Linked DNA regions of Anolis sagrei. The protein of the gene in region 1 binds, or shares a complex with, the protein of each later gene. Links are inferred from orthologs where the notes say so. Each region holds a gene or a part of one and is shown on either strand. Other genes may lie near its edges. The genes, in order: SYK and TYROBP.

Region 1 (16,709 bases):
AACATGTTTGTTTCTCCTTCCCCAATGACATTAGATTGACTCCCCTATTCCTGTGTTTTAGAAAAAGAGTTGAGACCTGGCTTTGGGACCAGGCATTTGGGAATAATGTAATACAGTATTGATATGAATGCTGCAGCATGAAGGATGATGATGGATTTAGCAATATGGTTTAAACAGTTTTTTAATAGTTTTATTGTATTTATATGTTATTTGTTATTTGTTTAATGTGATATATTTTATACACTATGTATTCGCAATGTGCCACTGAAGTGGCTAAACTGTAAGCTGCTTTGAATCCCCTTCAGGATGAGAAGAGTGGGGGAAAATATAGGAAATAAATAATTTCAAAAGTAGGAATTCCAAGCATGCAGCCACTGTAATGTGCACCTTTTTTGGCTAAATTACATAGAGTGCACTTTTTGCCACTGTGCATTGCATTCACCAGCAAATACTTTTTTTTTTTGTTTCAGGGTTTTGAAAACTGAGGTGCACATTAGATTTGAGAAAATACAAGTAATATATGGTAAAAATGTATACTTAATTTTAAAGTTTATGAGTTAAAACACTGTCTGTAGTTTTATTTTAAACTACACAAAATTAATGAAAACAGTACTTGATATATTGTACTATTTGTGCAGTAAGATTTTTTAATTCTATAACATAACTTTAAAAATGTAAACAACTCATTGAGTTATAGCATCCTAAACACAGGAACTGCTAATTTGAAATGAAGACCATTAGCTACACTCTGTGAAAGCAAATCCTGTTAATATTATCCTTTTGTGTTTTCACAGATCAGAATATCACTCCAGGAAAATTCCCATGACCAAAAGAAAATACTGGAAGGGTTTGGTGGGCATGGACTTTGAGTTTTGAGTTGTAGTTCACCTACATCCAGAGAGCATTGTGAAACAATGATGGATCTGGACCAAACTTGGCACAAATGTTGGTATTATCAATGTTGGTATTAGTAATAGTAATAATAATAATAATTATAATAATGGCACTCAGATTTAAATGTATATCTGATTACAGCATATGGATATAACTTAGATTAACCATATGGAAATCAGCAGGACTACATTTACTATAACACTGTATATACCTGGATGTGGTAAAGTAGTTCAACTAAGCGTAAACAGATCTAAAAACAATAGTTGATGCTTCAACCACAATTTGTCTAAAGAATGAAGCCTGAAACCCCTTTACACCAGTGTTTGTCAACCTTCCTAATGCCACGACCCATTAATGCAGTTCCTCATTTTGTGGTGACCCCCAACCATAAAATTATTTTTGTTGCTACTTCATAACTTTAATCTGGCTACTGTTATGAATCATAATGCAAATATCTGATATGCAGGATGTATTTTCATTCACTGCACCAAATTTGGCACAGATAACGAATACACTTAGATTTGAATACTAGTGGGGGTTGGGGGGGGGGGTTGATTTTGTCATTTGGGAGTTGTAGTTGCTGGTATTTATAGTTAACCTACAATCAAAGAGCATTCTGAACTCCACTAAAGATGGAATTGAACCAAACTCGGCATACAGAACTCCCATGACCAACAGAAAATACTGGAAGGGTTTTGTAGGCATTGACCTTGAGTTTTGGAGTTGCAGTTCACCCAAATCCAGAGAGCACTGTGAATGGATCTGGACCAAACTTAGCACAAATACTCAATTGACATCCTCTCGCGACCCTTCTAGGGGTCTTGACCTGCAGGTTAGGAAACACAGCTTTACACTCTGCATAACTGAACTGAGTCTGCAAGACACCTGTTTACATGATTTAAACAATTTAACACAGTTTTAAAAGCTTTTTATGCCCACCTCCTGCATCAACATTATTTAAAACAACAACAATGTAACAACTAGCTTTAAGTTATAGGGAAGTTAAATCTTTTGCTCGCTATATTGTGAAACTCTAATTTACGGGCAAATTTAACTTCCCTAGAATTTAAAGCAAAGTGTATGTATCTCTTTGAGCGCTGGGGTATGACACTGGAAACCAGAGTTCAAATTCCCACTCAGCCACTGAAACCTGCTGTATAGGGAAGTCACACTCTGGGCCCTTTCGCACAGCCATATAACCCAGAATATCAAGGCAGATGTTCCATAATGTCTGCTTTGAACTGGATTATCTGAGTCCACACTGTCATATAATCCAGTTCAGTGTTGATTTTATAATGCTGTGTGGAAGGGGCCTTTCTCATCCTCAAAGGGAAGGCAAGAAAAAAGCCATTCTGAACAAATCTTGCCAAGAAAACCCCATAATATTTTCACTTGAAAGGACTCATAGGAAACTTTAGGGTTGGACAATTTTGGCAGGCCTTGCGTCAGTGTTATGTCCTTGGAAACCTCTGAGGAACGGGGAGCCTGGAGCATTTTTTGAGGTTGGGAATCAACCCAGACAGTTAGGTGGTATTATTATTATTATTATTATTATTATTATGTCTATTTATAACCCTGAAGGGGACTCAAGGTGGCTTACATATAGTCAATTATTCAATCCCTTAGAGCAGGGGTACTCAAACTAAGGCCCAGGAGCCGGATACGGCCCTCCAAGGTAATTTACTCGGCCCTCGCTCAAGGGTCAATCTAAGCCTGAAACGATTTGAAAGAACACAACAACAACAACAACAGCAATCCTATCTCATCAGCCAAAAGAAGCTCCACACTTTCCATTTAAATACTAATAAGTTTATACTTGTTAAAATTGTTCTTCATTTTAATTATTGTGTTGTTTTAAAGTATTTTTTGCATTACAAATGAGATATGTGCAGGGTTGTTGTAGGTTTTTCGGGCTGTGTGGCCATGTTCTGTGTGGCATTCTGTGTGGCATTCTCTCCTGACGTTTTGCCTGCATCTATGGCAGGCATCCTCAAAGGTTGTGAGGTCTATTGGAAACTAGGAAAATGGGGTTTATATATCTATGGAATGTCCAGTGTGCATAGGAATTTATTCATTTTTTTTCAAATTATAATCTGGCCCTCCAACAGTTTAAGGGACTGTGACCTGGCCCTCTGTTTAAAAAGTTTGAGGACCTCTGCCTTAGAGCAACATATAATTCTAATAAACATTAATATTAGCATGTAATTAAAGATTACTATATAATAAATATTTTAAAAACATTGCATTTAATATTTTTTAAAAAATGCCATCCATAATTGTAGTCCAGGGCCATTCCAATAGTAATTGCACATATTCCATATCTGTTATTGCACTTTAATATTCTAATAATACATGGGAGTGAATAATACATGCAGATCTGAGTAGGATGGCCTTTATCAGCTGATGGTTGATAATTTTGTCAGCGCAGATTGTTTTAAGTGCAGGTCAAGGTCTGTAGGCACTGCACCCAGTGTGCCAATCACCACTGGGACCACCTTTACTGGTTTGTGCCAGAGTCTTACAGAATTATGAGGTTTTTAGTTTAGGGAGGAGACTTTAACAGCCTCACTAAACCACACACCCCACTAAACTACAAACTTCCATCTTAACTTCAACACCTTCTATGATTCTTCCTTAGCAACAACAAAGCGTTGAAACAGTTCATAGTATAGAAACGCACCTGACTCTGTCTACATTGCCGAATTAACGCGGCTTGAGCCCACTTTAACCGCCAAGGCTTTAGGATTCTAAGTTTTCTAGTTGGGTGGGGCACTAACACTCGTTGTCAGACAAGAAACCATTACACCAGGCATGGGCCAACTTCGGCCCTCCAGGGGTTTTGGACTACAACTCCCACAATTCCTAACAGCCTACCGGCTGTTAGGAATTGTGGGAGTTGTAGTCCAAACCCCTGAAGGGCCGAAGTTGGCCCATGCCTGGTTTCTGGTGAAGGCGCAACTCTAGTCAGACTGTAGACACACGTCAAGGGCAACGCAACAAACACTTCCCTTCTACGCAGCCCCGTCCTTTCGTCTCTTTCGTGACATTTCCAACCGAGCTTATAGTATAGGCGTGCCTTGGGGTGACCCTAAAGTTCCCCACTTTGGCGACCACACAGTCAAGGAAAGCCTTTTCCCTCCTCTGCCCGCTCAGCCCCAGTTTCCCTAATTGGTCCCCTTGGGCTCTTCTTACCTGGTGGGAAAGGGAGAGGGGAAGCTCAAGGAAGCCAAGGGAGAGTCTCTCTCTCTCTCTCTCTTTTCCTCCTCCGTCCGCCTTGCGAGAAGAGAGCGCCAGCCACGGCTCCAAGTTTCTCCTGTGTCTGTCCTTCCCAGATCCAGCTCAGGAGCCCGACAAGACCCGTCTTCTGGCCCTGGGCTGCCTGCCCCACACTCGCTGCCCCCCGCCTCGGCCCCAAAGGCCGTTCAGGATGAGTGAAGCGCTCGCTTCCTCATTTTCTCTCCAGCGATTTCCTCAGCGCGTTGGGGTTTCAGCTGAGAGGCAGCAGCACTTCCTCGTCGGGCAAGGCGAGCCTCTCTCTCTCTGCCTGGCTTCCTCTGCTTCGGAGCCTTTCAAAAGGGGGAAGGAGGAGAGGCGAGAAAGGGAAGGCCTCTCGGGTCTGCACCTTCCTCAGTTTTCTGGGGGCTCACAGGGACAACCCCAAGGGTAGAATCATAGATACTACATGGGCCATCCAGTCCAATCTCCTGCTATGCAGGAAAAGCACAATCGATTCAGAGCACCCCCAACAGATGGACAGTCACCACCCAATCCTTCTGCAAGGCCAGAAATACAGCTTGATGGTTTAACATTAGAAAATGTTGACCATTTCCACTACCTTGGCAGCCACCTCTCCACACAAGTCAACATAGACACTGAAATACAACACCACCTGAGCTCTGCAAGTACAGCATGTTTCCAAATGAAGCAGAGAGTGTTTGAGATCCGGGGCATCCGTAGAGATACCAAGGCGCTAACCATGGTGGTCCCCACCTTAGTTACCTCTAGACTGGACTACTGCAATCAGGCAGTAGCCAGGGGGAGGGGGGGGGGGCTTGAGGGGTTTCAGCCCCCCCCCCCCAAATTCTCATGGTGGTTTGCGAAAAGGCCTTACTGGTGCATTATTTAAACTGTTATGTTTATTCATATCATGATCTGATCACCATACTCAATATATCCCATATGCATGGGGGTATTGGGGTAATGATACAAAAGGTTTTCTAGGGTAGACCCTCTTTCACTCAGACTCAGCCCCCCCCCCCGAAACTCAGCCCCCCGAACCCCCCCCTATCCCCCCCCCCAAAAAAACCCGATATCCTGGCTATGGACCAGACAGCCCGGAAACTTCAATTGGTCTAACATTCAGCAGCCAGACTAACTAGGGCGAATTACAGGGAGTGGTCAACCCCTGTGTTTAAGGAGCTCTATAGGCTGCCGTTCATTTTCCAGTCCCAATTCAAGGTGCAGGTTATCACCTATAAAGCCCTAACGGTTTGGGACCTGCCTGCCTTCGTGACCGCATCTCCTTCCACAACCTGCACGTTCCCTCCGATTCTCGAGGGAGGCCCTCCTCTCACCTCTTCCTCTATCACAGCCATGGCTTGGGGGAACGAGGGAGAGAGCCTTCTCCGCTGTGGCCACTCGGCTATGGAACTCAAACTCGATACCTGGTGAGATTAGGTAAGCCCCCACTCTAGCAGCCTTTAAGAAAGATCTAAAGACTTGGCTTTTCCGATGTGCCTTTGGAGAGTGACCATATATTCCAGTCCTGTTGTTTCACCTACACTGTTTCCCTCATATTGCACTTTCCCACACCTTCCCGACCACCATCTCCCAAAGCAATTGCTCTACTCCAAACTCAAGAATGGAAAATGGAATGTTGGACAAGAAAAGAGATTTAAAGATGGGCTCAAAGCCAACCTTAAAAACTCTGGCATAGACACTGAGAACTGGGAAGCCCTGGCCCTTGGGTGCTCCAGCTGGAGGTCAGCTGTGACCAGCAGTGCTGCAGAATTTGAAAAGGTACGAATGGAGGACGAAAGAGAGAAATGTGCCAAGAGGAAGGTGCATCAAGCCAACCCCGACCGGGACCATCTTCAACCTGCAAACCAATGCCCTCACTGCAGTAGAACATACAGGTCAAGAATAGGACTCTACAGTCATTTATGTACCCACCACCATCTATGTACCCACCACTGATCTTGGAAGACAATCTTACTCGGACAACAAGGGATTGCCTAAGTAAGTAACAAATAGACATCCAGCCTCTGTGTAAAAGCCTCCAAAGAAGAATCCTCCACCACAACTCTGGGGCAGAGAGTTCCACTGCTGAACAGCTCTCACAGTTAGGAAGTACTTCCTCATGTTCAGGTGGAATCTCCTTTCCTGTGTGTGGTGGAGACTCCTTCTTTGGAAGCTTTTAAACAGAGGCTGGATGGCCATCTGTCAGGGGTGCTTTGAATGCAATATTCCTGCTTCTAGGCAGGGGGTTGGACTGGATGGTCCATGAGGTCTCTTCCATCTCTATGATTCTGTGATTCTGATACAGAACATATGCCATGATTGGCAATAGGGAAGGAATGGCAGGCAGCGCAAAAAAAGTGGAAATAAATAAATAAGTACAGAGGAAGGAGGCTCACAGACCAGATTTTCGTCCTTATGGCCCACAGGTTAAGAACCACTGCTGTAGTTTGAAGCCATTGTTCTGCATCCTAGTCTCCAGGGAAACAGAAAACAAGCCTGCCCCTCCTCCCTATGACTTCCCCTCACATATTTATACATGGTCCTCATCATGTCTCCTTTCAGACTTGTCTTCTGCAGGCTAAACATACCCAGGTCTTTAAGCTACTCCTCATAGGGCTTGTTCTCCAGAATTTTGATCTTCTGGACACATTCCAGCTTATCGAATTGGACACTGTTTTCCAGATGTCCAGTTAGCTAGACATGATGTACAATGATAGTGAGTGGTAGGTTGGCCTTTTTCACCATTCCCACATTTCCTAGAAAAGGTAAGCTCTAATTCTGTACTCTCATAATCTTTGGATAATTTTCTATTATTTTCTGTTTAGATATGCAATTATTTTGTGGGGGGAAGGTAGAACCTAACAATCTATACAATCTTCACATTTGTGACATCTTCGTGCAAGAATACATGGTGTATGATAACAGATATAAGAGATGAAATATGGTGAAATATTTATTTTTCCATATTATTATAAAAGGTTGCAGGAAGGCATTGTCTGTGCTGTTGATGCTGTTTCTTTTATTTATTTATTTAGAAAAAGAACTGGAAAAGGAATCTGATTCAGTTATTAATTCCTCCTTAACTAAATGCTTATCTTTGTCCTTGTTAATTAGTAGATGTTCGCTAACTGAAATGAATAACATTATATTGATATGTCTGGAATCTCTGTGTCAACTACAGTGAATTCCCAGAGTATCAGGGCATTCCCAGCCACTCCTATGAAAGGGGTGTGTGGAAGAAAATGAAGAGTGGGTTGTGTAAGATCTACATACCTGTCATTTCCATGTTTCTCAATATGTAGAACTCCCATCCAGCAGGTTAGATCGGTTTCTTCCTTTGATGTTGTGTAAGAGTGACTAGAAAAGGAGGAGAGATATACAGGGAAGAAAGTCTTTGGGACACAGAGAGACTGAGAAACCAAATGCATATCTTTATATTTCGCTATGTCTGTAATGTAAATAATTGTTTCCACAGCTTAAAATACTATTCAGGTTTCGGCAATTTAACATTGTACACACAAATCATTCATGTGTAGAATGTATTTCCTATAGGGTTCTTCAAACATTCTTTTCCTTTTCTCTCTCTAATGCACAGATTTCATTGGCAACCCACAAACAGATGTTTCCCGTTACTATACCTAACCCAACCTCGCCCTTTTAGCATGAGCAACTTAGGTGATATACTCTAGTGACCACACAATATTACAGTTTTTGACATTTGAATTTCATCCACCATCACAATCTACTGTCTAAAACAGCCATGGGCAAACTTTTTTGCCTTGGGGATGCATTTTGGGCCCGGCTAGGAGGACCGGGTCAGGAGGGAGGGGCCAGATACATGCTAAATGGGAAGAGCCTGGGAAAGGGCAGGGCCAGAAGGGAGCAGGGCAGTGCCTGGGTCATCTTCAGGTTGTCCTCCCAGGGCTGTTCATCCCATCCTTAGTCTGGGAGACAGATGGAACACCAAATGACCGAAATGATCCTCCTCCTCATCCTCTGTCCTCTTGGCATTGTGCTGGGAAAGAGGGTGGGACAGGCAGTGGCTGAGTGTACTCTGGAAGGCTCTCAGCCACCGTGTGCCTTCCTCAAGATGTCCTCCTGGCATAAGAACACTTGCACTGCTCTTATGTCGGGAGGAGGGTGAGACACACAGTGACTGAGAGCACTCCAGAGGACTCTTAGCTGCTATGTGCCTTCTTCCCCATCTTTTTGGCAGAATGACGCAGTGGACCACCATGTCCTTATGTGAAGAGGACAGGGAAAATGAGGAGGGCCTGATGTAAGCACCCAGGGGGCCACATATGGACCTCGGGCAGTAGTTTGCCCATGCTTGATCTAAAATGTTGCGGTCTTTCCAATGCGACAAGATTAGAACCATTCCTCCACATTCAATGGGGTTAGGGGCATCCCATGAAAGTGAAAAAATACTAATAAAGATTTTTTTTTAAACCTGGGATAGCGCCATTCTACGTTTTTCTAGCTTTTCCAGCATGACTGAAGGAAGTTGACCACAGAGTCACCATGGAGGACCTAGAGGTTTCAAAAGAGAACATTTTTATCAAATTCATGAATAATAAAATACTCAAAACTGCAAACATGGAGGGACTACTGAAATTATAGTCAAGAAGACGTACCCTTTTTTGGGTTGAGTCCTACCATCTCAGAGTATGAAAGAAAACAAATGCATTGATTTTCAGTCTCTTGTAAACCTTCCGCACTAAAGAAACAACATGGCAAGTTGTTTGCACAGGGATGCTCATAAATCGCAAAGGATTATGTAGGTTCTTGGAGTGCTCTTTCACTGTACTGTTAATGCAGTTTGACATCATTTTAACAATCATGGCTCAATGCCATGGAATCATGGAAGTTGCAGTTTTACAAGCCTTTAGCTTTCTCTGCCAAATCGTGTTGGTTCCTTACTAAACATCACCTCCCATGATAATGGCTCTGCCTGGCATTTGCTCTCGGTGTGGCAGATTTTTTTCTATTGGGCCAGGGATAGTCAGGCTCTGACCGAACCCAGCTCCTAAGGCCCCTCATGCCATTGAAGATGTCAGAGGCCATCGTAAAGTCAAATGTTAGTTCTCATGGAAAATATGTCTCAATAATGTAATGTAATGACACATTAATTATTTCAAAATGTTATAATTCACCATGTAAACTGTTCTGAGATAGATGAGCTGATATATGTGCTGTTTTGAGCCATGAGCAGTAAATTAAAATTAAACAATGCACTACCATGGTATACTAAATATATACAGGGGAACTGCCAGCTGGTCCTGCTAAGTGGACCTTCTGGGGGACAAAAAGGGGGGCCCCTTCCCAGACCTTATTTTTTGAGCAGGCAGATAAGGCAGATATCTGACTTACCTGACTTGTGGTGACCCAAAGTGACCCTATTACAGGGCATTTTGGGGCTGAGAATGGGTGACCTACCCGAAGTCACCCAGGGGATTTCTATGGCCAAACAAGAAATCAACCCTTATCTCTGGAGTCACTCAAACTGCTACACTACAATACACTGGCTCTCAAAGGGGTTATTACCTGCAAATATATATTTAATTTTCTTTATTATATCCACACTTTATCCTTTAATAACAGACCGCTTTAATTTTTAAAAAGTTCTCAGTCCGACTGCTACTAAGTTCTGTACATGTTGCTGAAAATGGTTAGGAAGTGTTTCCTGATTCAGAATGCAACTGTTTGATTCCTATTGAAGATAGTCATAGGAAGCAGATACAGTAGAACCACTTTCTTTATTTCTATAAAAAATTTTTTGTCTGAAGCTAAACTGAGATGATACTACTGTGAGCTATACATCTCTGAATGTTTGGCCCCTCTCTAAGTTTTGGAATTCCACATACAGTAGTTCCCACTTATCCAAGAGATTTAGTGGATACCTGAAAAAGTGAATAGTGCTGAACCCCATATATGCTATATTTATTCCAATATATGGATATCTATGATAACATTTAAATTAACAAATAGGCATGGTAACAATAATAACAGCAATAACCTATAATAAAATAGAATAACTAAAATAATATGCTGTAATAAATTTTAGCACTGCAAAATTGTTTATTATTGTAGGTTAATTGGTTGTTGGTTTGATCATTGCTCTTATAGCTGTTATAATGTTGCTGCTATAATGTTATTTTATTCTGTTTTATGTTGTTTTTATATTTTAGTGTGTTATATTTTAACTATGTTTGTTTCGGGCTTGCCCCCATGTAAGCCGCCCTTATTATTATTAAGTAATAGAAACCTTCAGAACATCTTTTTGTGGTGTAATATTTCAGACTGTGATTAACTGCTAGTAACTGATATTGCAGAAGTCAAAAATTGTTACCTCCCAAATAGGCTACTGTAATACACTCTATGTATGGTTGCTTTTAAAGACTGTTCAGAAGCTTCAAGTGGTCCAATGGGTGGCAGCCAGATTTCTCACTGAAGTGGTGTACAGGGAGCATACAACCCCCTTGCTACGTCAGCTCCACTGGCTGCCAGTTTGCTGCTGAGCACAATTCACAGTGTTGACTTTAACCTATAAAGCCCTAAATGTTCTGACCCAGCTTATCTGTCCAAACGTATCTCCCTCTATGAACCATCCTGAGATTAAGATTGTCTGGGGAGGCCCTGCTCTCAGTCCCACCTCCTTCACAGGTGCAATTGGTGGGGACAAGAGACAGGGCTTCTCTGTGTTGGCTCCTCGGCTATGGAACTCCCTCCTCAGCGAAATCAGGTCAGCACCCTCCCTCCCTCAGAAAGCAAGTAAAAACATGGCTCAGGGGCCAAGCCTTTGGCCAATAGTGCAGTGAGATAAGTGAAGATGGAAAATTTGCAATAATCTCGCTGGGGAGCAAATTCCACAAGCAGGGGGTCACCACAGAGAAGGCTCTTGTCCCCACCAGACATGTTTGCGAGGCCGGTGGATCTTAAACTACGAGGCAGAACATAGAGGGAGATATGTTCGGACAAGTAAGCTGGGCCGGAGCCGTATAGGGCTTTATAGGCGAAGACCAGCATTTTAAATTGTGCTCAGAAATGGACCGGCAGCCAGTGGAGTTGACATAGCAGGGGGGTGATGTGCTCCCTGTATGGTGCTCCAGTGAGCAATCTGATTGCCACCCGTTGGACTAGTTGAAATTTCCGAACAGTCTTCAAAGGCAACTTCACGTAGAGTGTGTTGCAGTAAACTATTCGGGATGTAACCAGAGTGTTGACGACCGTGGCCAGATCAGATATAAATACAGTAAATAAATAATAAAATAAATAAACCTGCAGAGGAGACTAATAATAAGACTTTATATTCTGACTATTGTAGCTCTACCAATTCTTTGGGGGAAGACCTTGTCCTAACAGCTTTCACAACGTTTAGTAATAATAAAGTAAGTAAGTAATAATAATGTGCATAGCTAAAAAGCTTAGCATTGTAAAACCTAATTTAAAGATGAACTAATCACATAAATAATTTTATAACCAGACTACATCAATGTAAAGTAGGCAATGAGATAGAGTAAATAACCAGGTAAGAAGGAGTAAGCTCAATGGGCATTCATAGGCCTTTGAAACTATACCCTAAGGCAGCCTATTTAAATCCCAGGGGAAGCTCCTTTGAACGGCACATTTATAATTTGGTTAGACAAACATCGTATAATATCCTAAAGCTGTTTGGCCTGACTTTCTTTCATAGGGCTGTCTGATAATATCATCCTAAAACTGATGGGTTATCAGTTAAGAATATGAAATATAAACTATATTTATGTGACATTCCACGTCAAAAACAACATTCTAGATGAAATTCAATAGGTACAGTTGTGCTTGCCTATGTAGAATCTTTTCATTTTCTTATCTGTCCAATAATGTATGTATAGAAACAAGTTAAGAGAGGTAACTGACATGCTAGAGAAAACACCAAGTTAATAAGGAAAATTACATTGATTGTAATCAGACCTTGTAGTGCTTAAGGGCCTGATGAGAAAGGAAACTGCAAGTCTGCAAAGTGTCCAGCTAACGTAACCACATGCGAAAAAATGGCCCTGCTGTGGGCTTGCATCTTCCTTGCTCTGAGCATAAAAGTGTCTGTGTGGTTGCAGGCATTGATGTTGGGGTATGTGTGTGGGAGAAGAAGGGGCTATCAATAAAAAAATATGGTAAACATTGCATGCACATTCCAGCTAAAGCCAAAATGTAAGTCTCTTGGCACTCTGGCCACTGTTTCTTATTGTATCTTTCTCACAAACACCTGTTACTAGTGAACAGTTGCTAGTTTTTTCAAGTTTTGTATACTATTGTACTCGCAATTCTAAAAGATACAGTTGACTATTTACAAGTACAGTTAATAATAGAACTCTTACATTTGTTTTAGAGAAGTCATGGCATGAGGCCCCACTTTATTTATTTGCATTATCTTTTGCTTTGTGTCTTAGAATATAAAAGATATGAATAATTCTCAACAACCTTGCAATATGGAGGAAGAAAGCAATGTCAAAAGTGATATTAAAATATTTTCCAATGCCATTTTCATTATTTTCCCTTCTACTGCTTTGAATCTCCCTGCACAACAGTCTTATCCAATGTATTCTTAAGCCAAGTTTTTAAGCTCTAGCTTCCTGCAGCTTTCCAGAAGCTATAATACTTTGCATTTGCCTAGGTGTCTACACTGACCATATAATGCAGTTCCAAGCTACATTATAGGAAAGTGTAAATTCAGCTTCAGTTTGCAGCAACTAAAGCAAACCAAAGGTAAAAGTGGGAAGAGAAGAAACAGAGTTGGTTCAAAATTGAAGTACTCTATACTGGCTTAAATAAGAAATGGAGCTTCTAAAAGTCCATTTAGCTGTTTCTTTTTCTCCAAAGGTAAAGTAGGGATGGGATGAACTGATGGAAGAGGACTGAAAGCATGCATGGCATTTTGCCACTTAATCCAAATGAGGCTTTCAGTGCAGGTATTTAACTTAAATTTAAATGCCAATTAAACATAAACTCAATAATTGATTTTTTTTCCCTTCCCTCAAATGTCAGCAGATTTGATATGGGTTTTAAACTTATTAGTGGATTCTTCCAGATGGAGCAAATGTTGCTGATGGCTGCTGTATTTGTTGCTGTAGTCCTCAGGGATTGCTTTAAAAAGCCAACTAGACAACATTTATTCTCCATGCTATTCACTGGCAAATTCAGGCACCAGAAACAATATTGTATCTTTACCTGGACAATGGGTGAAGGGTTTAATTCCAGGATATATTACATCATCATCACCACCATCATCAACAACATCCCAAGAGACTTGTATGGTTCAATACTTGCAGTTCATATCAGGTTCCGTGGCTATTCCTTTTCCTTGCTGCTGTGAGGAGGGTGCACCAGACAGCCCCATACAGTTTATATAAAGGATCTATGGAATACTCTTTCTTTTAAAATAATCTACCAGATCTCACAAGATCCACAGCCAATAGGTATAATAGGAGCCTTAAGAGATCTGAATTGGTCAAGTTGCCTACAGTGTCCTGAGATCTTGATGATGACTGGTCCAATTGCTTATGATGTCATACAGCTTCTTTCATTTTCCCTCTCCCCTTTTACAATAGTAAAAAAGCTGAGAAGTTACGATGGACACTGAAGGAACTCAGGCTGGCAATTCCTAGCACCAAGTGCAGCATTCTTTTATGAGAGCTCCCACTCTTTTGTATGAGCCTGGTTGAAAAAAAAAAGAATGTACTAAACTTTTCCTGCTTTTATGTCTCAGGAGATTCATATATTTCCATTTACACAACAACAAAGAAAATACCTATAACAGAAAGTACATCGAGAAGCTGTATACTCAGTATATTCTGAGTACGAAATGGCTTGTAGGTTTACACAGGACATACATGGGCTAGCTCTCAAAGGAATGGACTTTGTTTCCAACAATAGAGAAAATAAACTTGTTCCTTTGCCTTTCTTTTGCAACCCAAATGCCTGATGACCAACAACTATGGTGGAGGATGTGACCTTTACTTGCATGTAACCACCTTCCATCACCATCATAAACTTGGCTTTGAGATCTCAAGAAGATACTTTGTGACCTGAATTTGACATATTTGTTCCCTTAAAATAATGTTTAGCATCCATCTCTGATTATATTTTGGATAGCTTGCATAATGTATGTTGCACCTTTTGGTATTCTTTGCTTAAAAACATCCCGAGGGCTGCCCTCAGTCAACAGGTGACTTGAAGGCACATAAACCAGAATTGACCAGCCCAAAGTAGTGTTCATTGAGTGGAAATTGCTCTGGTCCAATGTCTTTTTTCCAGAACAGAGGCATTGGTGCCCATATTACAATTGGAGGCAATGTTTCTGACAGTCATGAGTCAATTTTGGTTTATTGCAGCAATCCCCCCCCCCCCCACACCATCTTTATGAAGGCACACAAACACTCAATAAATGCATTGACATAATGTGATTTTGGGTTTTGCCTTATTTTAGCAGTCTATTTTAATGTAGAGAGCCAGCATGGTGTAGCAGTTTGTGTGTTGAACTATGACTTTTGAGATCAGGATTCAAGTCCCTGCTCAGTCACAGAAACCCACTGAACAACCTTGGACAATTCACACTCTATCAGCTTTAGAGGCAGGTCAAGGCAAATCCTCTCTGAGCAAATCTTGCCAAGAAAAAACCATGATAGTTTCATCTTAGGGTCTCCATAAGTCAGCAACAACTTGAAGGCACACACCATATATTATGTTTAGCTGTGGTAGAGACCCCGGGGCCTTAGTATTTGCCATCCAGCGTTGCTGCCTTGCTAGGCTTACCCATGAAGGAACCATTAGGCCAGCAGCCACACCTTATTATATCTAGCTCTTCTGGCATGTGGCTGTCTCAGCTGTTCTGGGGTCTTTTCCATTGCTCCTCCACTGACTTCGCTGCCTCTGGTGCCACCAACACATGGCCCTTCTGGGCCTAAGCTGGCCAGACCATTCCAGAGTTCTTTTGACTATTGTCCACTCAAGTTTTAATTGGGTTTAATCAGTGTGGCCTGGTCGGTGAATTCCTTTCTAAATTAGACATCGAGTGTTGATATCAAATACTCTACTTCACAATCTAAACCTCAGCACCCATGCACTTTAAGTTCTTGTGTTTTAAAATTGTGGTACCTGTACTCTATCCTGTAGCCTTCTACTCTTGCACTTTATATCACCTTACCCCATGGTAATAACACATAAGACCACTTTTACTTGCAGTCTTAAGTTTGGCCTGTGGGAGAGAGTGATTGGGAAACTGTTGTTTCTAATCCGTTTTATTGCATTTATATGTTTTAACTGTTTTATAATTTGAAATGTTATATTTATTATTTGTATGTATAATGTGGCATTGTATTTAGCCAAAATCTGTAAGCTGCCTTGAGTTCCTTTCGGGATGAGAAGAGCAGAGTATAAATATCATAAATAATGTTTTCATTGGTACCTCTGAATTTTGTTACAACTGTCTTGCATTCCTGCCTTGGGAGAATGGTGAAATACAAATAAAATAAAATAAAATTCCCTTTTAAGGCTACAGCTCCTAGAATTGTTCAGCTAGTATGTTGAAATGTTGCCTGTGTCTGACACTGACTGAGCAATGAATTTATTTTTGTGTCAATATTAGTAAAGCAAAATATTGTGTTTCATAGGTGACTAATCTACAGTTAAATGTTACAACTATAACAACTATTTTAAGAATATGCTTTAGTTTCCTGCAGAGGGTGGTGAAGTTCTATGTTGGATTGGTTTCTGTGTCCAGCAGATGGCAGAATGCACTGCAGGAACACAGATGTGCACCGTGGTTACAATTCTTTTTCACTGTAAATTACAGGAGGAGCAAATCTGCCTTCTCAGTCATCACAGACAGTACAACTACAAATAACTACCAACTGTTTCCAGAACTATTACTATTAGCACTATTGCAATGACGGAAGAGCCAGGTTGCTCTTATTCCTTTCCTCCTAGTAATATATATCCTAGCTTAATACATAAGAAATCTTGGGAAAGTCTTATGTAACCTTAGCAAAGAGTGCCTGTACATTACAGAGCTGCATTTCTGCACCTGATACTAACAGATCATTAACAATGAGATCCTACATTGTTTTTTTCATGCACTCATGTAGATGGTTGTTGTGCTACTTCTGAATGCTGTAATTATTCAACTGATTTGTATGTCCAAAAATTGCTGTTCAGAGTTTGCATCTGTAGAATACATGTTTGTTTATAGACAAATCATATCTGACTTCTGTGTGATAGATCATGAATATGTTTTTTAGCTATAGTTTTAGCATTTGATCCTACCCTGCTGGCTAGCTGATAAGTTCCAAGTCACTGAAAGTAAGATTTGGTGGTTAGCATGCAGTGGGGAGGTAAGTGAGTCTGTTCTGACACAAACACAAAGAAGGGTTCAGTACCTTGGATAGCTCCTGTAAAGGTTCATCATATTGCATCATTCTTTGAATTTTGGATTAAAAATAGAGTGGATTTAGTCCCCTCATTGACATGGGAACCACCAGCTACCATTTAAACAAAAAATACACATGTATCTGTAATATGAAATATTTCTCAATTCAAAA
Region 2 (16,764 bases), on another chromosome or scaffold:
TCCAAGGTCATGTGGCCGGCATGACTGCATGGAGCGCCGTTACCTTCCCGCCGGAGTGGTACCTATTGATCTACTCACATTTGCATGTTTTCGAACTGCTAGGTTGGCAGAAGCTAGGGCTGACAGCGGAAGCTCACGCCGCTCCCCGGAATTGAACCTGCGACCTTTCGATCAACAAGCTCAGCAGCTCAGTGCTTTAATCCACTGCGCCACCGGGGGCCCCGGCTCCTTATCCTTCCAAAAATGCCTGTTGACTTGTTTGTGGAAGGCCAGCAGGGAAGGGGCCATTCTGGTCTCTCTTGGGAAGGAGTTCCACAGTCTGGGAGCAGCCACCGAAAAGTTTCTCTCCTGTGTTCCCATGAAATATGCTTGAGCAGGTGGTGGGACTGAGAGAAGGCCCTCTCCAGTAGATTGTACTTTGTGACTGCATTTTCCCCTATGAACCGGTGCGGATCCTAAGATCTGCCGGGAAGGGCCTTGTCTCACTCCCACCACTGTCACAAGCATGGTTGGGGGGGACGAGGACAAGAGAGGGGGAGCTTCTCAGTGGTGGCCCCCTGGCTCTGGAACACCCTCCTCAGGGAGATTAGGCTAGCACCCACTCTGTCTATTTTCTGCAGGGACCTCAAAACATGGACGTTCCAATGTGCATTTGACAATGGTTGGATCTCTTTCCATGAATTGACCATTAGACTAAATTCAGCACTTTATTTCCAGTCCTGGCCAGGGGCGGCTCAACCCATTACGCAAAGTAAGCATTCACAGTATAGTTGATTTTGCCCAGGGGCGCTCTTGAGGCGCTCTTGGGGGGAAATAGACCTTGACATATGCGAGTTGTAGTCACTGGGATGTATAGTTCATCTAAAATCAAAGAGCATTCTGGACTCCACCAATGATGGAATTGAACCAAATATGGCACACAGAACTCCCATGACAAACAGAAAATATATATCAATGACTGTTTGGGGCGGGGCACCAAAATACTGTTTGCTTACCATTGAAAATTACCTAGGGCCGCCTCTGGTCCTGGCCCTATAATTTACTTTTTGTACAGGCCCATGCCCAGCCCTCTCTAATTCTTGATTGGCTCTGGTTATTGAGGTTTGCTTTGATTCATTTTAATGATTTTTTAAATACTCTACTGTTTTTAATTGTTTAATTAGAATATTATAAAAAATAACAATCTTTATATGTTTTTATAACAATTTTTAAATGTATTTTTATTTGATTAACTCTGTTGTTGCTGGGCTTGGTCCCGCTTGTAAGCTTCCCTGAGTCCCTTTGGGGAGATGGTAATGGGATATAAAAATAAAGTTATTATTATTATTATTATTATTATTATTATTATTATTATTATTATCATCATCGTAGATGTCTCCCAGGTTCATAGAAAGAGATGCGGTCCCTCAGATAACCTGAACCGAAGCCATATTGGGCTTTGTAGGTCAAAACATGTTTACGAGCACTTTGAATTGTGCTCGGAAACATGTTAGCAGTCAGTGGAGATGTTGCAACAGAGGAGTTGTATGCTTCCTGTAGCCAGGCCCAGTTAGCAGTCTGGCTGCTGCTCTCTGGACCAACTGAAGTTTCTGAGCACATTTCAAAGGGGCCCCCCACATAGAGTGCATTACAGTAGTCCAACTGGTATGTAACCAAGGCATGTACCACCATGGCCATATCTGACTTCTCGAGGAATGGGCGCAGTTGGCGCACTAGCTTTAACAGGTATCAGCACTCCTAGTCACTGCTGATATTTGGGCCTCCAGGTTTAGAGCCAAATCCAGGAGTACTCCCAAACTGCAAACCTGCATTTTCAGGGAGTGTAACCCTATTTAACAAAGGCCGACTCCCTACTCCCAGATCTGCCTTACAACTGACCAGGAGTACCTCTGTCTTGTCTAGATTATGCTTCAGTTTGTTTGCTCTCATCCAGTCCGTTACAGCTGCCAGGCATCGGTAAGCACAGGACCCTCTTCCTTAGAATTAGGTGGGAAAGAGTGATAGAGTTGGGTGTCATCTGCGTATTGATGGCACTGCACTCAAAAACTCTGGATGACCTATTCCAGCAGTTTCATGTACTTGTTGAACAGCATGGGGGGCAGCACAGAGCCCTGAGGGGCCCCATAAGCCAGGGGCCAATGAGTCGAACAGAAGTCCCCCAGCACCACCTTCTGAGAACTTCCCTCCAGGAAGGAACGGAGCCACTGAAGAACAATACCAAGCCCCATCCCAGAAAGGTGACTCAGAAGGATACCATGGTTGATGCTATCAAAAGCTGCTGAAAGGTCCAGGAGAACCAACAGAGACACACTCCCCTGTTTAGTTCTCTGCATTGGTCATCCACCATAGTGACCAAAGCTGTCTCTGTTCCACAACCAAGCCTGAAAGAAATGGATCTAGGTAATCTGTTTCATCTAGGAACTCTTGGAGGTGTGAAGCCACCACTCACTCCAGAATCTTGCCTAAAATGGGAAGTTAGAGACTGGTCTGTAATTGTCCAGTACCAAGAAGTCTACCACCCTGGTCATTTCCCCATGTAATTAAAATAATAATTTAAAAGGTATTTAGTATTCCCAGTCCATTTCTGTTTTAAAAGCCTATCTGAATAAATAGGTTTTGGCCTGAAATTGGAAGTATAAGGAGGAGGTGGGGGGCATTCAGATTCCTTTGGAAAAGGAATTTCAGGTGCAAACCCCAAGGTGTCTCTTGTTTTTCCCCAATTGTGCTTGTGATTGTGGTGGGACTGAGAGAAAGGGGCTCTTAAGATCTCAGGGCTGGCTCATAAATTTCTCCATGCTTTCAAAACCAAGAGACAACAAGGTGTCTCTTGTTTTTCCCCAATTGTGCTTGTGATTGTGGTGGGACTGAGAGAAAAGGGCTCTTAAGATCTCAGGGCTGGCTCATAAATTTCTCCATGCTTTCAAAAACAGCTTCAGCTAAGGATAGTGTGTCTCATCTGAATGAATTCCTGGATGAGGGCTGGATGTGGAAAAACAAACTGAAACTGAATTCAGACAAAACAGACATGCTTGTCATCAAGGGTCCTAACCTGAGGATGGAGGTGTGTCAACCAGTTCTGGATGGGGTTACAGTCCCCTGAAAGACTGTGTTCGCAGCTTGGGAATTCCTGGATCTGTCCCTCCAAATGTCAGCCCAGGGAGATGCAATGGTCAGGAGTGCTTACTACCAGCTTCAGCTGATCCACCAGCTGCACCCCTTCCTAGATTTGGAAGATCCAAAGATGGTGGGACACGCATTGGTAACCTCAAGGTTGGACTTCTGCAATGTGCTTTACATTGGGCTACCATTGAACCAAACTCCAGCTGGTTCAAAATACAGTTGCTAGATTGGTTACGGGAACATCCAGGAGTGAACATATCACATCTATCCTAAAGTCACTCCACAGGCTGCCAATAAGTTTAGGAACCCTAGCATGCCACTCAAGATTATGATTTGATGTTTGTTGAACCCAAACATAATAACAGAATCATAGAATCATAGAGTCGGAAGATACCTCGTGGGCCATACAGTCCAACGTCCTGCCAAGAAGCAGGACAAACACATTCAAAGCACCCCCAACAGATGGCCATCCAGCCTCTGTTTAAAAGCCTCAATAGAAGGAGCCTCCACCACACTTCGGGATAGAGAGTTCCACTGCTGAACAACTCTCATAGTTAGGAAGTTCTTCCTAATGTTCAGGTGGAATCTCCTTTCTTGCAGTTTGAAGCCATTGCTCCGCATCCAGGCTCCCAGGCAGCAGAAAACAAGTTTGCTCCCTCCTCCCCATGACTTCCCCTCACATATTTATACATGGCTATCATGTCTCCTTTCAGTCTTCTCTTCTGCAGGTTAAACATGCCCAGCTTTTTAAACTTCTCCTCAAAGGGCTTGTTCTCCAGACACTTGATCATTTTAGTTGCCCTCCTCTGGACACATTCCAGCATATCAACATCTCTCTTCAATTGTGATGCCCAGAACTGAACACAGTATTCCAGGTGTGGTCTAACCAAGGCATCCCATTCTTAAGTAATCTCAAGTAAATCGTGCATTTAGAGCTTATTTGATTATGGAAAAGCCACTTTACACAATTACAACCCACACTTCAAAAGCAAAGATAGTTTTTTGTGATAGGAGTTACAAGGCCTAGATCCTGGTGGCTAGATCAGAAAAGAGGGAGTGGGTGCTGAGGATTATAGCTTGGTGTTGGGCTGACCTTGCAGATAATTTTCCCATTCTTTGCTCAGTAGCTCAAGGAAACCCTGGATTTTGAGCCTAGTTGATAATGAAAAGACTTTGACACACCATAAGATTACAACTCATAGTTGAAAAGCCAAGATGATTTTTCACAACACCTCTTCTCTGATACCAGGGTGCTTTTCCTTGCTTGTCTCATGTCTTTCTACAAAAGCAGGGATTCCCCTTCCTGCTATCTCAATTGGGAAATAGATGATCAGTTATCCTTCCCACCTATCTCAGTTTTTAATGCTGAGGTGTGAATTGTGTAGCTCTCCAAAACATGGTGAATTATATCAACCATATTATTGGGATGATGAATCTATGCTAGGTTAAACCAAACGACCACAGTAGTAACGTGAAGTGCTGAACTCTGTTTCTACTTTAGGTTAATCACTTTTGATAATGTTTTGAATAAAACAAGGACTGGATTCACCACTTTGTTGGCACAGAGGGGGTGTCATCATATTTCCAGATTTTGTCAAACTACAACTCCCACTGGCTAAGTTAATTATGGCTAGTGGAAGCTGTAGACCCACAATCTCTGATGCCTTCATGATTCCAACCACTGTCCCAAAGCCAATCTATGAAAGACAATGGAAGGAGGGAGAGGGAAAGCTGGCAAAGGAGGCCATCTACATCTGAGATGGCTTGATTTTGATCCATTCCTGCTTGTGACATCATTTCATCTAGTCCAAAAATGAGAGTTATGTTGGCCTTCAAGCGTGGTTAAGCTGACTCTCCCAGCATCCTTAGGAAGTATAGCCAACACTGATAAATGCTGTGTTATAGTCTACTAACATCTGTTGGAAGGCTGTACAATTCCCAACCATCATTTAGTGGACTGAGTCTAGCACAGTGGTTCTCAACCTGTGGGTTCCCAGATATTTTGGCCTTCAACTCCTAACATCTGGTAAACCGGCTGGGATTTCTGGGAGTTCTAAGCCAAAACCCTGGGGACCCACAGGTTGAGAACCACTGTTCTAGCGGGACTCTCAATGTTTGGAGATATGGAGCAGGGAAGAAGGAACAGGATATTAGGTCTTGTAGAAAAATGCATCTAGAACCCCGCAGTTTCATAACATGTCCATTTCACTCAAATTAGACTTTTTTAGATCCCCAGTTGAACCCGATTCATGCTACTAAGGAGTGGAGAGACAGTGACTGTGAAAGGAGACCCCTCCATGATGTCTCATCATGGTTTAGATGGCAGTTGATCATTTGGTCCACAAAGGTGTAATTCTCTGTCAGAGATGTCTAGTTCTGTGGTTTGAGTTAACGGACTAGAGCACTGGAAGAGAGGTCCTAAATACCTCACAAAATTACAAAACCTAAGATTTTGCAGGAGAGGTTGAGAGCAGAATCGTACTGGTACAACTACGCAGAGCAGATACAATTGTTGCTTGCTACAATGGGCACCAAGGAGCCTACAGGTTTTCAGAAAATGGTTTTTCCTTTCCATCATTGGCTACCCAAAGCCTATTGGGAGCAAACACAGGATCTAAAAAGAAAGATTACAGGTTGACCAAAAATCCAAAATAAGGCCAAAGGAGTAGAGGTTGACCATAAGGCCAAAATGAGGTAAAGCCATGGTAACGGAAAACTATGGTAATGGAAAAATATTCTGAATGAAGGAAAAAATTAGAAGCAGAGTCAGCAATGCTATGAAAAAGCAAATTAACCATTACAACAATGTTGTTGTTGTTGGTAATGGTTATATGTTACTAAAATATTCTGATAATGGTAACATGGTGATATTACCAAAATAGTCTGGTAATGTAACATATCATCATCTCTACGTGGGACTACCTCTGAAGACTGCCCAGAAGCTTCAATTAGTCCAACTGTCGGCAGCCAGGTTGCTCACCGGAGCAGTGTACAGGGAACATACAACCCCTCTGTAACGCCAGCTCCACTGGCTGCCGATTAGCTCCCGAGCACAATTCAAAGTGCTGGTTTTAACCTTTAAAGCCCATTACGGTTCTGCCCAACCTACCTGTCTGAACGTATCTCCTGTTACGAACCATCGCAAAGTTTAAGATCATCTGGAGAGGCCCTGCTCTTGGTCCCACCACCCTTGCAAACGCAATTGGTGGGGATGAGGGAAAGGGCCTTCTCAGCAGTGGCCCCCCATCTGTGGAACTCTCTCCTTAGAGACATCAGACTGGCCACCTCCCTCCTGTCTTTCAGAAATAAACTTAAGACTTGGCTATGGGACCAGGCATTCAACTAGTGATTAGCAGCAAATGGAAAGTCAACCTAGGCAACCCATGACAATGAATTGGCCAGACTTGGATTTGGTTTCTAACTGGCATGTTTAATCAATTGTTTTCCATTAATTGTTTTGTTTTTAATGTATTGGCTGAATGTGTTTTTTGATTGTTTTATGATGGTAATGCATCTTATGATGCTTGTTGTGAGGTCGCCCTGAGTGTCCGTCCCTCCCCGGGGGGTGAGAAGGATGGGGTAGAAGTATAGGAAATAAAATAAATAAACTACTACTTTCTACTCTTCACAGCAACAATCTGAAATATCAGAAGGTTCAACCTAAACTGTTTTTGCATAGAGCTTGCTTAATACATGGTTTTCTATTATGGCCTATGATTTATATTTCAATGACTGATGTTTAATTTTCTAATTCATGGTCCCATGATCATACTTCCTCACACTTTTGTTAACTCCTACCTTCCCACGCTACCCATTGTTCCCTAATTTTTAATTTCGAAACATTCAATTCCAATGCTTAAAAACACAAATAGGCAAATATAACTATTCAAGACAAAACACAAAGAAATAGCTATTCAATGGCCAATCTTAGATATAGGGAAGTGATGGGGGCTTAGGGAAAAATCCAAAATTGAAAAAGGAGACCAAAGATTGAGGAAGAAGTGTTTGATTCAACTCACCCAGCTGTGCCCAAACCAAGTCCAGGAGAATATAGAGGATTGGGATTCTTAGTTGGTCCATCACAAAGGCTCTCAAACCAGGTTTAGAGCCAATACTCAAAATGTCTCTGGTTAAGGAAGACCTGATGTTGTGCTTCCAAAAGTCTGGGAATCCTGGACCTGTGAGACAGGAATAGTATCCTGCTGAAGAACAAGACTGAAGAAATAGAAATAGCTCTGGGCAGGAAACCTCAAAAAGAGGAAGGGAGATGTCATGGGGTAAGATCAGATGGTGGCCAGTGTCGTACTTCCCCAGCGGAAGTGAGTCCAGATTCAGAAATAAAAGGCATAAAAGGCTCCTAATAATAGTTCGTCCATTACACCACCCTAGTAATCGATGATCATTTTGTCTGGTTTGTGTTTCCACACAAAAAAACTATTTTCTTTTAGTAAGGCAAATATGGAAGAAAGCAAAATTGACAGGCTCATTAATCTGTGAGTGTTTGACTGTTAACATCAGTGGCCGAATCTCTGCATATATAACCATATTTGTAATGCTGAATCATAGAGTTGGAAGGAACCAGAAGTACTATGAATGGGAAAAAATGTAGTTAGGTGGGAAGACAATGACTGAGGCTCTGAACCAAACAAAACATTTTCCTCTCTTTCTTTGGGGTGCTACCTGTTTCCCAGCTGAGCTAAGCCTGAGATCAGTAGTGAGTGGACTGATCAGGCTCCTTAGTGTTGATGTTTTGTCTCCATAGTACTCAAGATTTCATTCTCCCTGGGGCCACCACTGCTGCCTTCCCAGCCTCCCTTCCTGTTCATGCACTTTTGGCACAATCCTACCAATTGCTTGCTCTGAAGTCCAGCATCCAAATGCTTTGATCAGAACAAGACATCCAACCATGTGATCTCAATGGTGAGGTATTGCCCCAATCAACCTTCTCATTATTGACCTTTTGGCTAGTTTTGGCTGGGAACGGAGCAACAAATTCAAGGAGAAGGGAAAAAGTTGATTTGATTTGAATTCAGACATGACTATCAATACAATCTGAGTACAATCTATATATGTATATAAATGCTCTGTGCATAATGAGTACCTTAAAAACAAAAGAACCAATGAACGAAATCACACCAAATTTTGCAACAAAACGCCTCACAACACCAGGAGTGACCATCACTCAAAAAATATTATTTTGTCATTTGGGTGTTGTAGTTGCTGGGATTTATAGTTCACCTACAATCAAAGAGCATTCTGAACTCGATCAAGGATGGAATTGAACCAAACCTGGCACACAGAACTCCCATGACCAACAGACAACACTAGAAGGGTTTGGTGGGCATTGACCTTGAGTTTGGGAGTTGTAGTTCACTTACATCCAGAGAGTATCTGGGCCAAACTTGGCACAAGCACTCAATACGCCCAAATATGAACACAGATGGAGTTTGGGGGAAATAGACCTTGACATTTGGGAGTTGTAGTCACTGGGATTCACAGTTCACCTACAATCAAAGAGCATTCTGAACCCCACGAATGACAGAATCGGGGTAAACTTCCCATACAGTACTCCCATGTCCAACAGAAAATACTTAAGGCCATCCAATCCAACTCCCTTCATCAGGGCAAGAAAATGTAATCAAAGACATCCTGACAAAGGACCGTCCTGACAAAGGACAAAGGACCATAGATATAGATAGATATATATTATTCTCACACAGAGAGATACAGTATCATAGATTTGAATGGGACCCTTAAAGAAAGACAATTATATGTTGCATGTTCCAGAGCAGGCAAACCAGACACTTTCCACACCAACACTGACAAAGAAACAGCAAAAAATACTGTTTACCCACAAGCACAAAGAAATTACATATATTAGAAACCAACACTTTCTCATTACTTTATTTTCCAGATCAACAGACTGGGCCACAGCAACGTGTGGCAGGGGACCGCTAGTACGTTATAAGTACCAACGGGGTGAATTTAGGGCAGCTTTTAATGCAGAATACTGATTTATTTCCTGGTGTCTTTTCTTCTTTCTTCTTTCTTAGGTGATCCCTCATTGTCCGAGTATGATGGCCTTCCAATTGCAATGTCTTGGTGGTGGATAGGTAGGTAGCCTAATTCTTGACCCGCATGTTCTTCCACACTGAGGGGATCGGTTTCCTGGTAGAAGGCGGTCCTGGTCAGGGTTGGCTTGACCTGTCTTCCTCTTAGCACATTTCTCCCTTTCACCTTCCATTTGTGCCTCTTTGAATTCTGCAGCACTGCTGGTCATAGCCGACCTCGAGTTACAGCTCTTATTTATTTATTTATTTACGGCATTTCTAGCCCGCCTTTCTCAGCCCTAATGCGACTCAAGGAGGGTTACAGATGGCTAACAATCCAATGCCAAACATTTATAAAAGATACAATTAAAAACATTCAACACAGCACTATGAAAACCATATAAAACCCATTAAAAACATAAAATCACCAGAGTCGTCCTGTTAAACTCATCGTCTAGTAACATCATTGGGTCATTCCAAGTTCATTCTTCATAGTTTCATGTTCATCCATTATGCTGCATTTTCAAAAGCTTGTTCGAAGAGCCAAGTTTTTTACTTTTTTTTAAGTCAGGAGGGAGGGGGTGATCTAATATCCCTAGGGAGGGAATTCCACAGCTGAGGGCTCAAGGGCTAGGTGTATATGCCACAGTTTTTAATGTTGGCTTTAAGTCCATCTTTAAATCTCTTTTCCTGTCCCCCAACATTACATTTTCCATTTTTGAGTTGGGAGTACTGTAACTGTTTTGGAAGATGGTGATTGGGCATTTGGACAATGTGGCCAGTCCAGTGGAGTTGATGGCGTAGGAGCATCACTTCATTACTGGTGGTCTTTGCTTCTTCCAGCATGCTGACATTTGTCTGCCTGTCTTCCCGAGAGATTTACAGGATTTTTCGGAGGCAACACTGATGGAATCATTCCAGGAGTTGCGTCTGACGTCTGTAGACAGTCCATGTTTCACAGGCGTATAGCAGGGTTGGGAAGACAATAGCTCAAGGGCCAGGGCTTCCCAGTTCTTGATGTCTATGCCACAGTTTTTAAGCTTGGCTTTAAATCCATCTTTAAATCTCTTTTCTTGTCTACCAACATTGCGTTTTCCGTTTTGAGTTGGGAGTATAGTAACTGCTTTTGGAAACAGTGATTGGGAATTCAGACAACGTGCCCAGTCCAGCGGAGTTAATGATGTAGGAGTATCACTTCAGTTCTGGTGGTCTTTGCTTCTTCCAGCCTGCTGACATTTGTCTGCCTACCTCTCCAAGAGATTTACAGGATTTTTCAGAGGCAACACTGATGGAATCGTTCCAGGAGTTGCATCTGACGTCTGTAGACAGGCCATGTTTCACAGGCGTATAGCAGGGTTGGGAAGACAATAGCTTTATAAGCTTTACTAGCTGACCCCTGCCACACGTTGCTGTGGTCCAGTCTGGTGATCTGGAAAATAGTGTTGGTTTCTAATATATGTAATTTCTTTATGCTTGTGGGTAAACAGTATTTCTCATCAGTGTTGATGTAGAGATTGTCTGGTTTGCCTACTCTGGAACATGCAACATATCATTGTCCTTTTTTAGAGGTTCCTTTGAAACCTATGATACTATTTCTGGAATATATGTGTGCGTGTGTGAATCCTATCTATTTATCTATATCTATGGCTGGATGGCTCTTTCTCAGGAGGGCTTTGATTATGTTTTCTTGCTCCGATGAAGGGAGTTGTATTGGATGGCCTTAAGGCAGCATTTCTCAACCTGGGGGTCGGGACCCCTGGGGGGTGGTCACGAGAGGGTGTCAGAAGGGTCACCAAAGTCCACCAGAAAACACAGTATTTTCTGTTGGTCATGGCGGTTCTGTATGGAAGGTTTGGCCCAATTCTCTCGTTGGTCGGGTTCAGAATGCTCTTTGATTGTGGGTGAACTATAACTCCCAGTAACTACAACTCCCAAATGTCAAGGTCTAGTTCCCCCATACTCCATCATATTTCAGCATATGGAGTATTTGTGCCAAGTTTGGTCTAGATCCTTCATTGTTTGAGTCCACAGTGCCCTCTGGATGAAGGTGAACTACAACTCCAAAACTCAAGGTCAATGTCCACCAAACAATTCTAGTGGTTTCTGTTGATCATGGGAGTTCTGTGTGCCAAGTTTGGTTCAATTCCATCATCAGTGGAGTTCAGAATGCTCTTTGATTGTAGGTTAACTATAAATCCCAGCAACTACAACTCCCAAATGACAAAACCAATTTTTTTGAGTGATGGTCAGTCCTTGGGGTAGTAGGTGTCTTGTGGCCAAATTTGGTGGCAATTGGTCCAGCGGTTTTTGAGCTATGATGTCACTCACTATGCACAGAGCATATATATATAATTTATTTATTTTATTTACATCACTTATATCCCGCCCATATCAGCCCGCAGGCGACTCAGGGTGGTCTACATTTTGGCACAATTCGATGCCATCAATACAACAGCAAAAACAATTAAGTGCATTTAGACAAAAAAGACAGTGCAATAACAATTTAAAAAGAGCTATATCCTCTCAATCCAATCCTCATCCGTTTCATCGTCTTGGCCGTTCCTGGGTCATTCTCCATCTCAAGCTTGACTATTCCGGGGTTCCGAATGCCTGCTCGAAGAGCCAGGTTTTCACTCTCTTACGAAAGGTCAGGAGGGAGGGGGCTGATTTAATATCCCTAGGCAGGGAGTTCCACAGCCGAGGGGCCACCACAGAGAAGGCCCTGTCTCTCGTCCCCGCCAAGCGTGCTTGCGAAGCAGACGGGATCGAGAGCAGGGCCTCCTCAGATGATCTTAACTTCCTGGAGGGTTCGTAGGAAGAGATGCGTTCGGATAGGTAGGCTAGGCCAGAACCGTTTAGGGCTTTATAGGCTAAAGCCAGCACTTTGAATTGGGCCCGGTAGCAAACTGGCAGCCAGTGGAGCTGGCGCAGCAGAGGAGTTGTGTGCTCCCTGAGCGCCGCTCCTGTTAGCAACTTGGCTGCTGCACGCTGGACCATTTGAAGCTTCCGGGCCGTCTTCAAAGGCAACCCCACGTAGAGCGCGTTGCAGTAATCTATGCGGGATGTAACCAGAGCGTGGACTACCGTGGCAAAGTCAGACTTCCCAAGGTACGGGCGCAACTGGCGCACAAGTTTTAGTTGTGCAAATGCTCCCCTGGTCACCGCCGAAACCTGGGGTTTCAGGCTCAGCGATGAATCCAGGATCACACCCAAGCTGCGAACCTGCGTCTTCAGGGGGAGTGTAACCCCATCTAACACAGGCTGTAACCCTATGCCCTGTTTGGCCTTTTGACTGACCAGGAGTGCCTCTGTCTTGTCTGGATTCAGTTTCAATTTGTTAGCCCTCATCTAGTCCGATACAGCGGCCAAGCACCAGTTCAGGACCTGAACAGCCTCCTTAGTAGTAGGTGGGAAGGAGTGACAGAGTTGGACATCATCTGCGTACAGATAACACCGCACCCCGAAACTCCGGATGATCTCCCCCAGCGGCTTCATGTAGATGTTAAACAACATGGGGGACAGTATAGAACCCTGCGGGACCCCACAAGACAATGGTTGTGAGGTCGAGCAGTTGTCCCCCAGCAACACCTTCTGGGTACGATCCTCTAGGAAGGTCCGGAGCCACTGCAGAACAGTTCCTCCAAGGCCCATTCCCGCGAGGCGTCCCAGAAGGATACCGTGGTCGACGGTATCGAAGGCCGCTGAGAGGTCCAGCAGAACCAACAGGGACACACTCCCCCTGTCTAGCTAAAGCTTTCCTGGTGTGGATAGCCTCTAAAAAGGAGGACCATATTTGTATTTTTTAAAATATATATATTACAAATAGACTAAGGAACGGGTATTCAGGAAAGAATTAAGGAAACAAGTGATATAAAGTGGGGAGACAGAGGGAAAAGAATCTTTGCAAAACAATAAGAAATGGCTCATTGCGGAGCCTACCCATTTTTGTTTTTGCCACATGGGCAGGCTTTAACAATGAAGATGAAGCACTTTGATTACAGCACAGAAATTATCTTTGCTGTTCTTCTTTTGGCTCATTGGGCAAGAACAACATTTAGGGAATGCTAAAATTTGCTAGTCAAGAATCAACTGTACTCTGGCACCTCAAGGAACAGGGCCAGAGACACATGGATTAACAGTATTGTCAGCCAACATTTATTATAGTCAGGTCTGAAGCACTCATGCTGAGATAAAATTTACAGACAGTCATATTCTGAATGGCTGTATGACACTTTCCAGCTGGTGGTGGCAGGCAGGGGGTTGCTTTCCTCTTTCTTGCGAAACAGCAAGGGAGATTGATTAGCTGGGCAGACCAGTTTCAGAGCTGGAAGCCAGTTCTTTCAAGCAAGGAAAGGGGACTTTTGATCATGATAATAAATGAGAGCAGACAACGGGCCACCTTAATGAGGGCTGCATGGAATTACTTGTCTGCTATAATTCTGTCAGCATATTGAGATGTGTCCAAACAGGTATCATGAAGGACTTTTCTGCTGTTATAGTGAGCTTAGCTGAGCATTGTCTGACCCACTCTTGTAGACTTACTTACTACTTACTTACTTAGGAAATCCCTTGTAGCCTGAGGATGATGATCCTTCAAGTGTAGTGTCTTGGCAGAGGGTCCATAGGTGGCTGTGGAGCCCTATTCTTGATCCGCATGTTCTCCCACAGTGAGGACATCAGTTTCCAGATGGAAGGCGGTCCCAGTCAGGGTTGGCTTGATGCACCTTCCTCTTGGCACATTTTCCCCTTTTGCCCTCTATTCATGCCTCTTTGAATTCTGCAGCACTGCTGGTCATAGCTGACCTCCAATTAGAGTGCTTAAGGGCCAGGGCTTCCCATTTCTCAGCATCTATGTCACTGAGAAAATTTTTAAAGACAGCTTTAAGCCCATCTTTAAATCACTTTACCAACTTTCTGTTTCCCATTCTTGAGTTGGGAGTATAGTATCTGCTTTGAGAGACAGTGATCAGGCATTCGGACAATGTGGCCAGTTCTGCGAAGTTGATGGCACAGGAGCATCATGTCATTGCTGATGGTCTTTGCTTCTTCCAGCACATTGACACTTGTCCTTCTGTCTTCCCAAGAGATTTGCAGGATTTTTCGGAGGCAACACTGATGGAATCGTTCCAGGAGTTGAGTGTGACATCTGTAGACAGTCCACGTTTCACAGGTGTATAGCAGGGTTGGGAGGACAATAGCTTTATAAACAAGCATCTTGGTATCCCTATGGATGTCCTGATCCTCAAATATCTCTGCTTCATTTGGAAAAAGGCTGCACTCACAGAGCTCTGATCCACTCTTGTAGAACTGAGTTTGGTATTCGCATTGGAAAGCATCAGCAATGGGTGTTTGCTTACTGAGACATCTGCTAATCTAAGGACCAAACAATTTAATATTGACATTAACACTTTAATGGCCGAATTGGGCTGTGGCTGGGATGCTGTACTATTCATTTTAATGGTAATTAGTGCTGTATTTTGGAGCCCCAGTGTGCAGAGGGTTAAACCGCTGAGCTGCTGAACTTGCTGGCCAAAAGGTTGGTGGTTCAGAACCAGGGAACAGGGTGAGCTCCCGCTGCTATCTCCAGCTTCTGCTAACCTAGCAGTTCTAAAACATACAAATGTGAGTAGATCAATAGGTACCATCTTGGTGGGAAGGTAACAGCGCTGGAGCTTGACCTTGGAGGTGTCTACGGACAATACTTGCTCTTCAGCTTAGAAATGGAGAGGAGCACCACCACCCCCCGTCCCCCCCCCCCCCATAGTCAGACATAGCTAGACTTAATGTCAAGGGGGAATCTTTATCTTTACCTTACTATGTTTTATTGATTTTTAAATTGGACTTTTTCTAAAGTGTTGCTTTTATCTTAATAGATGTTGTTATTGTTTAATGTGTTGATGTAATATTACCTTTATTTTTATGTGTTACAGCATTTGTATGTTTTTTCTGTAAGCTACCCTGAGTCCTTTCTGGGTGATGGTAGCAGGATATAAATAAAGTTGCTGCTGCTGCTGCTGTTGCTTCAATTAGCACCCAAACAGCTAACCATTGAGACAAAAATGGCCACAGTTTACATCTGAAGAGTGACATTTGTCCAGATCCAGGCATTAGACAATACGAGAGCCAGCTGAAGTGAGCCAAATGCACAACCTATGCTCTATTTATTTATTTATTTATTTATTTATTTATGATATTTATAGCCCACCTTTCTCAGCTATATGGCGACTCAAGGCGGGTTACAGATTGGCACAATGTGATGTCAGGCATTCATAAAAGTGCAATTAAAACAATCAACATTACAATATAAAACACAAATAAAAACTGTTAAAGTATATAATCATCAGTGTCATCTTGTTAAAGATGTTATCCAGTAACATCGTCTGGCCATTCCATGTTCATCATTCATAGTTCCGTGTTATCTATTCCGCTGCATTCTCAAACACTTGCTCAAAGAGCCAGGTCTTTACTTTTTTTCGGAAAGTCAGGAGGGAGGGGGCTGATCTAATATCCCTGGGGAGGGAGTTCCATAGCCGGGGGGCCACCACTGAGAAAGCCCTGTCTTTCTCTGCCAAACGCACTTGCAAGATAGGTGGCATCGAGAGCAGGGCCTCCCCAGACAATCTTATTTATTTATTTATTTATTTATTTATTTACTTTATTTCTATACCCCTTTTCTCAGCCCGTAGGCGACTCAAAGCGGTTTACATAGTACAAATTATCACAAAACAGTATCATAGGCAATTAAAACACATTATACATAACAGTCAATATCAATAAACAATCATTATCATAACGCCTCAGCACCAAATCAGAACCATTCTCATAATCCTTGTTCCATGTTCCTGTGTTCAATTGCACCGTATTCCTATAATCAATTGCACTGTTTAGCCAAACGCTTGTTCGAAGAGCCAGGTCTTCACCTTCCTCCGGAACGCCAACAGTGAAGGGGCCTGTCTGATGTCTACAGGTAGGGCATTCCACAGCCGAGGGGCTACCACCGAGAAGGCTCTGTCCCTCATCCCCGCCAGGCGGTTCATAGGAAGAGATATGTTCAGACAGGTAAGCTGGGCCGGAATCGTTCTAGGCAGTACTTCGAATGATAGCACTGAAATGCTATCTAAATAGGCACAACCATTATTTGGGTAACACAGTTGAGGAGTATGGTCTCCTCAACTGTGAATGATATTATGTGTTAAGTTACGTTTGGGGGGGGGGGGGGGGCAGTACCATATAGGTATAACCAAGATTATGAGGGATTTGAGGGTATTTGGGACTGAGGATGGGGACTCCCAGGTCCAGATTCCCAGATTTTCATGAAAACCAGCTCTATTATGAATAGAATCGTAAAGTTCAAAAAGACCACAAAGACCGTCCAGTCCAACCCCATTCTCCCATGGAGGAGCACATCTCGACATATGGTCATCCAGCCTCTGTTTAAAAACCTTTAGAGAAGGATACTCCACCACATTTCAAGACAACATATTCCATGGTTGAACAGCTCTTACTATCAGAAGGTCTTCCTTGACTTTACGTGGAATATCTTTTCCTGGAGTTTGAATCCATTACTCAGTGTCCTAATCATTAAAGCAGCAGA

What was found.
Region 2: the proteins of SYK (region 1) and TYROBP are in contact, whole or in part, in a crystal structure (PDB 7Q5W), measured with the Homo sapiens proteins. The link is inferred for Anolis sagrei from reciprocal best matches to the Homo sapiens genes SYK and TYROBP. Residues at the interface, in NP_001167638.1 of Homo sapiens: Arg22, Arg42, Asn46, His62, His63, Tyr64, Thr65, Ile76, Ala77, Gly78, Gly79, His92, Asp97, Gly98, Leu99, Arg175, Arg195, Arg197, Lys212, Leu214, His215, Tyr216, Arg217, Ile228, Pro229, Glu230, Gly231, Lys232, His243, Lys247; in NP_003323.1 of Homo sapiens: Pro90, Tyr91, Gln92, Glu93, Leu94, Gln95, Arg98, Ser99, Asp100, Val101, Tyr102, Ser103, Asp104, Leu105, Asn106.

Annotation. Positions count from the first base shown.
Region 1 is NC_090022.1:235,001,234-235,017,942, reverse strand, and holds the start of SYK (tyrosine-protein kinase SYK), read right to left. Parts: upstream 7,509-16,709; 5' UTR 7,408-7,508; intron 4,486-7,407; exon of another isoform or gene 4,087-4,485; intron 1-4,086. UniProt on the Homo sapiens protein: Non-receptor tyrosine kinase which mediates signal transduction downstream of a variety of transmembrane receptors including classical immunoreceptors like the B-cell receptor (BCR).
Region 2 is NC_090034.1:88,840,553-88,857,316, forward strand, and holds the start of TYROBP (TYRO protein tyrosine kinase-binding protein), read right to left. Parts: upstream 7,364-16,764; 5' UTR 7,201-7,363; coding exon 7,140-7,200; intron 1-7,139. UniProt on the Homo sapiens protein: Adapter protein which non-covalently associates with activating receptors found on the surface of a variety of immune cells to mediate signaling and cell activation following ligand binding by the receptors.